Drosophila melanogaster: one gene and its partner. Changing the gene in region 2 together with the main gene of any one other region gives a genetic interaction. Each region holds a gene or a part of one and is shown on either strand. Other genes may lie near its edges.

What was found.
Region 1: of PGRP-LB (region 2) and pirk, changing one enhances a phenotype caused by changing the other (phenotypic enhancement), as found in Drosophila melanogaster (one study listed by BioGRID).

Annotation. Positions count from the first base shown.
Region 1 is NT_033778.4:21,661,300-21,665,229, reverse strand, and holds the start of pirk (poor Imd response upon knock-in), read left to right. Parts: upstream 1-2,234; 5' UTR 2,235-2,542; intron 2,543-2,725; 5' UTR 2,726-3,312; coding exon 3,313-3,906; 3' UTR 3,907-3,930. Other genes in the region: CG42363 (uncharacterized protein), read right to left, coding at 1-38; CG42362 (uncharacterized protein), read right to left, coding at 258-716.
Region 2 is NT_033777.3:11,458,441-11,462,370, forward strand, and holds the start of PGRP-LB (peptidoglycan recognition protein LB), read right to left. Parts: upstream 2,113-3,930; coding exon 2,007-2,112; intron 1-2,006. UniProt on the Drosophila melanogaster protein: N-acetylmuramyl-L-alanine amidase involved in innate immunity by degrading bacterial peptidoglycans (PGN). Probably plays a scavenger role by digesting biologically active PGN into biologically inactive fragments. Has no direct bacteriolytic activity.

The DNA of each region.
Region 1 (3,930 bases), on a different chromosome or scaffold from region 2:
TCATTTCCAATACTTAAAACGTTTGTTGTTGACGTCATTTTTGAATCTAAAAGATACTTCGTAAGTGGAATATCCTAGCATGAAACTCTTTCAGCTCACCTGCTTTAGTATTAATAATGCCCGTTTGTGTTGTTTTATTTATTTACTAATGAAATCATTTCGGGTACAAGTTTCCTCAAAGCTCTAAATTAGTGATGGGTTGATTTTGTTTATAAACAATGGGAACAACGGTGAATGGCAAACAAACCACCTCCTCTTCACCTCCTCTTAGTGTTTTCATTTAGATAACACAAATATGAGTAAATATCTGATCTTTCTTGATCCAAAGCGTTGGAAACAGTTTTGATTATGAAGTTCCTCGAATCCTTCGGATACTTAGCAACGTTTTTGGATATCCAGTGCTCCTTGCCAATCACATTCTTTAATCGTCCCAGAATACCCTTGGAGTCAAAAGTGGGTCCGCTTATCATCCAGCCATTTATCTTATCAGCCGGACCGAACTCGTAGTAGTATCCGTTCTTCTTGATTTCTTTCGCCGCAAATCTTTCGACGGATCCTTCATCACAAACATTTGTCAAAGGCTTGCCGCCATTCAGTAAAATTTTCTGTAAGTGCTTCTCAAAATCAGACACAGAATACTCATTGCGTGTTTTTGTGCTTTCGAAATCTCCAGTGCTCTCAGTGCCAATAGTCAAAACATTCGAGTTGTTATTCATAATTGTTTATATTCCTACTACCGATTGGCGTTGGTGTTGTACACTAAAGTATGATTTCGTTATGGGAGCGCTTTTTATTTGCTTACTTATGAAATAAGCACCAATAAAAGCTCACGTCAATAGAGATGGGTTCTTTTTGTTTATAACAAACTGTGAATGGTTAGTAACATATGTTAGGGTGGTTCTTAAGAGTGTACTTAAAATCTAAATATATCTACTTCATTTAATTTCTTTTAAATAACGACTACATTAATTAATATAATGTCGCTTGACTCTGTTTCTATGTCCCTAAAAATTTGACTTCAAATTTTAGATGTTAAATAGATCACAAATTTTCACATTTACCTATTTGCTATTTTATATATTTACTTTACGAACTATTAGAGATGACATGATTTTGTTTATAAACGTTGTTTGTTTAAAAATCGGTGTGAATGGCAACGATTTCATTTTGGAGTGGACCTACCATTACAATACTAATTTAATCAATTAGCTGATTATACATTTCTAAATTTATACATTTTATAAACAATTTAAATAAAAAATAATTTAGATTTTTAACTGCATTGGCTATTTAAAATATTTGACATTAATAATAAATGCATTATCTTGTTATCTGACACATATGCAATATTAATGCTTTTAACACCCCATCAAAAGTATTAAAGTATCTGTCAGAACAAGTACATAACGTTCACTTATTTCGATCCAGAACATGAAACACAACAAAGCAACGCCTCGATCTTAATGAAAGATAAAACATCTGGCATCGGTGATTTTTTGGTCGGTGGGGCTTTAGTACCGGTATTAGACGCGTGCTAGATAGTGGCTGCAGGTGGTAACAGTTTTGATGGGTTATGGGTTGTGATCGAGGGGGTTTTTTCCTGGGCTCGCACAATTTCTCCATTTGTGTGCGCTGTAACTGCGCCGTGTCATATCTGATAATACACACGATTTGCCGTTATAACGCCTTCACACCGAACAAGGCTTCATACGATTATAGCTTTTCTTGAACTTTTGCTTTTGCTTGGCGAGCACACTTGAGATAGCTGCAAAAAAAGTCCCCGTTTACTGGCCCAAAACAGCGATCTGGCAAATAAATCATTTTATAATTTTCCGCAATAGATAATTGATTTGTCAACAGTGAATGCACCTTGAAAATAATAAAAAACGACCTTCTCGGCAATACACCCCTTTCATTTGTAGCCCCATAGCTGCGGTGCTTTCCCCGCACGAGTAAACATTATTGGGCCAACTGTTTAGATGCTAGCGTGTTTATTCAGCTGGCGATCTAGATACATATGTATGCTTGACTTGGCCGGGCTTTGCTCAGCTCCAGGCTTCCCAACCGACTGAGCTGGTCACTTGAACTGGCAACTCAGCTTGGAACGATCGCAGAAAATGACAAGATCGAGAATCGGAAGCTTTCGGGATATATATATAAGTAAACATATGTAAATTAAATCGAATGCCAATGAAGTCGATTGTGCAAATTACGGGTGAGATTTTTTTGTTTGTAAACAAACAGGCTCGTGAAGCATCTAGAGGAAATCATTGCCTCCGTTTCACAGATCTCACTTGGCAACTGCGTAAATATTTATCAATTTCTAGTGCTTAAAACTTTATCATCGGTTATCGTCGGTTATTACCCCTTTAGGTTGGGGTTGGTGGGTTTTTGACTCCGCGTTTACGACTCCCAAAAATGGAAATCAGCAACTATATCAGTGGACTTATTAATGATAAGAGAAGTTAACAAAAATCCCCATCAAAGTTGGGTCTGTACTGCATAAGTTGATAACAGTCTACACAGCGAAAAGTTACAATGCGTAAGTAAATAAATTCCACTTTGATGGGTCAAGACCCGAATAACACCCATTACTATTAGGGATAAGACTATAAGCACATCATTTTAGGAGAAACTATAAAACGATAAGATACAGTAATAATGTTTGAATTTACTGGTGCTGTTAACTAAATATATATTTAAACTTTATTACTATATGCTGAAGATTTGGCTAGCTCAAGTCGATGGACGAGCCCATTGCGAGGGCACCAACAGGTGGACATTACTCATGCCGAATAAATTCGGCGACCCAATCAAAGGTCTCCCCAGATGGCGAGATGCCTTTAAGTTCGCGACTCTCATGCATACGAGGTGATTTTCGTGCCGGCCCTCGGGCGAAATAAAAAAGCCCCGGCGCTAGACTCTCCGGCGGATATAAAAGCGGTTCCCGAGCGGCATTAGCGTTCAATAGCCAAAGTGCCAGCGAGCGAGCGAGCAGTAAGCACGGCGAAAGCGATACCAGAGATCGCCAAACTCAACGCACAATAAAAGTTCAGAAAACAGAGGGAGTTCCCCTGGCGGAAGCAGACGATCCCCCAGCGCTGAATTGAATACAAAAACAACACACACAATTGGATATCTTTGACCTTAGCCATCCGGATTGCTCATCATTCGGAGTCTTCCCCCAGCGACAGAGACGGAGATAGAGATAGGAAAAAGAGTTGGAGAATGAGCTAACCGACAGACTGGACGGTGATTTTTACGAGTGATTAGCAGCGGAAAGAAACGATACCGGCGGTAATTCACACCAAAATGGGCGTTCGTGTGATAGAAACCGATTCGGCGAGCGATTCGTATGACGATGACGAGTGCTCCACTTGCCAGAAAGAGCACGAGCAGGGTAAATCCCCCAATAAGAGCAAGAAAAGTTCCACGCCGCCGGAGACAACCATCTACGCCAGCAAGGATCTGGTGGGCAACTGCAAGGAGTACCGCATTGAGAACAACACGCGCGATCTCAGGATCATCGGCAATGGCAACCGCATACGGATTGTGAACAACTCCGGGCAACTGCAAGTAATCGGCAATAGCACCAGACTCAAGATCCAGAACAATAGCGGAGCCCTCAAGTACACGGGTAACGACGGAAGGATCTACCTGGGCAGCAGCTCCACGCAGCAGGTGGTCGACTACACGGGCTGCAATGGACTGCTCAAGGTGGTCAAGTCCCTGGATCTTAGCGGCGATGCCAAGAAAAGGCCCAGCTCTCGATCGAAAAACGCCAAGCCAACGCCAACGGATGCTGGCCAAGGCAAGTCCGGCGGCATTGAGATCGACAGCAATCTAACGATACGGCACGGAGCCGGGAACATTGTGATCAAGAATGCCATCAACGTGAGCATCTGAGAATCTTGAGCTCTCTAAGTCATC
Region 2 (3,930 bases):
AGCGCCTCGTTTGCGGTGAATTACCCATGCCGCCGCGAATTTATTGGCCCCATTCAACCGCATTTTACCTCCTCCGATCGCCGGTACTTTTTTTTTTTTGCCAATCCGAAGGGTTCTTTTTCAAGCGCTGCGGCTACGAGGGCTATCACACGTGTCACTCTGAATCGACATTCCAAATGACAGATACGCGTGCAGAGAAAGAAAATATTGGCACCAGACAATATTTGCTTTATTCAGCCAAACGTTTTCACTTAAACCAACTTGTTTGAAATTAGCTTTGATTATTTTGCATTGAGTGATTACTGTTCCACTGTTCATGTGTGAACCTATTTCAAAATCGTTACTTTTCTTCGCGTGCACGAAATGACTACACTTTGGCCCAACACTTAGATAACCAATTAGGGTTAATCACTGAAAACGTTGCATAGACTATAGGGCACGACTCACGCCCCGCAATAACAACTTCCGACAAGCGTGAGTGATTAACAATCCCAACTGTTTTGGCAAGTGACGATTAGATTACCGTGATACGGATCGCTGATCATACGGATCAGAATGACACTCATTCAACTAGTTCAATATCGGTCATTCTCGAAGGTCGCTGCTGATAAGAACCCTCTATCGAGGGCATAAATCAGCTATGGGGAACTTTTTTTTTTTTAACCAATTCTCAAGACTTTGGTTGTGCAAATAATCAGACAGCTGCGAACTGAACTTAGCATTTGCCAATGGCTAAGTTTACGTTATTTTTGAATCTCCCTGTGGCGATTTATTAATGTCACTGTTATTCGCCCAAAATGAAATCTATGAGTCATCCGTTGCTTTAACCATCTCTTTTTTAAATGGTAATATTGCGTTTTTGAGCTCACATCTGCGGTTTTACTTCTTGTGTTTTGATAAATGAACGAACAATTTCCATAGCTGGAGGTGACAGTTGAATTGTTGAATATTTTTTGCAGTCAGGAAATTCGGCTGATGCCATCTAAATACATAGTCACAGACTAGAGTTAAAACAAAGGTTGACAGCTCGCAGATGTGACATTTCTTCGTACGAAATTCCTTATTTAAAAATGTAAATTAACCATTTCAATGAAATCTTTATATTAACTTAGATACAGATTTTTAATTGAATTCATTTTTGAAATGTATTCTCATTTTTTATGTTCATAGTGGAAAGATTATTCTTTTAGTCTGAATCCTTTATAAGAACCAACTTGAATCGTTTCAATAGTTTGGGTTTACTTTGTTTTACACGTAAGGATACATGATATCTTATTTAAATTATATTCCTATAAAAGCTGATATTCTTTTCGCACGATTTCAGTTGTTTACGATTCCAAAACTCAAAACCGTGATTTTTTATGGCTGGTTGCTGTGACAGCATCACTGCCCCCGTCGTTCTCTGTGTCATTTGCTTTCTTTGACCACCGGCACCGGACATACTCTTTTATAATATGTATTCGTGTGATTTAATTTTTGTTTTTGTTGTATTTTCGAATCGGGGATGCCCCTTGGTGGGATCGCTTTGATTTTTTTGGGGGAATCCCGCTGCAAATGCGGCTGGTATTAAATTGCTTTAGTCGGAGTGCCGAGATCGGATGGCTAGACAAATTAACAGCGTTTTATTTTCCGTCGTCGATTTATGGCGAACAAGCACATTCCATCTTCATCTTCATCTCGCTCTTAATCTGAATTAGTTTTTTTTTCTTTGTGTGCACACAGGTTTTTCGAGTCGAAAATTTCGGGGGATAACCGCCAGATGCGTTCTGGCGCCTCGTCCAAAGGAAGTCCAAATCACCGGACTCATTTTCTCCTCCAACCTCTACTTGTCTTATTTTATTTGCTGTTTATACTTGTGGCAAGGTAAACACGCAGACCACACCGCCCCCCCCCCTTCGCCCAGCATTGGAATATTTATTACACTTCAAAAAGGGGAAATTTCTCTCAAACGCTCTTGGAAATTGTTGAATTGTTTTCAGCAGCAAAATAGTTGCGGCGCTACTTACCACAACTTGTGGCCAGCTGTTGCTGCTCCAATTGCTCCGAGTCCATGAGGATTGCCAAGGAAGTTGGGCCAGAAGTGGAGACGGATCCAGACACCTTGTCGCCCATGTTGTTTGCCAATGTCTTTGACGCTAACTGAAATGAAGTCCGAAGTCTTAGAGGCAGTTTTCTATGTTCGTTGGCAACAAGGGGACCGTTGATTAGGTCTTGTAATCTTGAGTTGCTCTTCTTTCTTCGAGAGGTCCACCACTTGGAAGTTCTTAAATCCGCAGGTTAAATGAAAAATAAATACGTTTAACAATTATTTTCGTGTGCATGGGGTCGTCAATTTGATGGGCCCAAGCAGGTGGATATACAATGCTAATAAATATATTTTAACGACCCAGGTGTGCAAATCAGATAAACACACAGCGAAAAATGTTTCGTATATATCTGTACTCATTAATACGAGATGTTTGTTTAGAAAATGCATTAAGTCCTACAAAAATCCCCCAAATAAATCGGGTATACAATTAATATGCGATAAAAATCAATTGAATTATCACCGATCGAAAATCCCCGGTTAGAGCATTGCGCATTCGACTTTTGGCAGCTGGAAGCGCTGACCATTGTGCTCATAACTTACCATTCGACTGGCTGCCCGCTAATCGCACATCTTATCAGGGTATTAAGTGCCGCTCACTAACTACGCCTTGGCACGCTCTCCCAGTAAAAAATTTCGAGGGGGGGCAAAAATCACACGCAAAATCACAGGCCTTCTTTTATAACCCCCCCCCCCCCAGCACCAGCTCCAGCTCCAGGTGGTGGTGGGGTATTCACCCAGGTAAACATTATCGAGCCAGAAGCTTTACACTCTCGCACATTAGACAAATAAACGGGTGTCTCTGCGTTGGTTGGTTGGTTGGGGTTGTGTGTATTACAATTAACAAAAGTAATTGCACTCGTCTGGGAATCCCCGGGGCCACAATGAAAACTCTTTGATGGCGTTGGCCATGCAAGTGGGAGAGTCTATCTATATCTATCTATAGCGCAAAGTGAAACACACTATAATTTCCACGCGGATACTGACTGGCCGTCCTATCTGTTTTCAATATTTCATTTTCCCTATCGGAATAATCGCAATCGTTATAAATGGCTCCCGAGAGCCAACTGTGAATATCAGGCAATAATGAGAAGTAGTAATTTAATGATACGAATTCAAGGGCCGGGTTTTTTTTTTTCTCTTCCCCGTCGGCTGAAAGATAACGTTGGGGGTTTTTTTTTCATTTTAAAGTAACTGACCTTATTTAATTTTGGCATCAGATTTGGACTTAATGGAGTGCTTTTCGATCGTGATAGTAAGTGATACATTAATTTTCTCTGCGTGCACATTCATTTAGATATATATACATATGTATATGCCAACACCCCCAATTGAAATCTTCGGCTGTGCGAACAATTCATCAGATGTCGCCATATCATTGCCTGTGCTGATTAGTTACGCCTTGCTGGTTGGTATCCCCTCAAAATTGAGCATGGGGGGATACCAGGCGGTGGCGAAGGATACTGCTGCTGGTATCCTTGTAGCGGCACGCACATGCCATATATTAGGACGCATAAAATGACAAACGACTCGCGAGGCGCGTAAATTGAAAACTCGCTGAGCCTGTGCGAGATTGCCAGCGCAAAGGATCCGCGGGGCGAAATTGTGTAAGGGGCTGGGTGGGGGGTATTGGTCCTGAAATGGGTGGCGGGGAATTTGGATTTCGGCGACTTTTTGGCTGTTTGTTATTGCTGCCTGAGCTGTCTCACTCGCTAGCTGGCTGTCGGCCAAAACTTTGCCAAAGTATTCAAATTAAAATTTCAATTAAGGAAGTGAATTTGTGTGTGCCGAAAGTGTATTAAGTCTATACAGCGGTGGCATCTTGGCATTTCACTGCTTCTGTA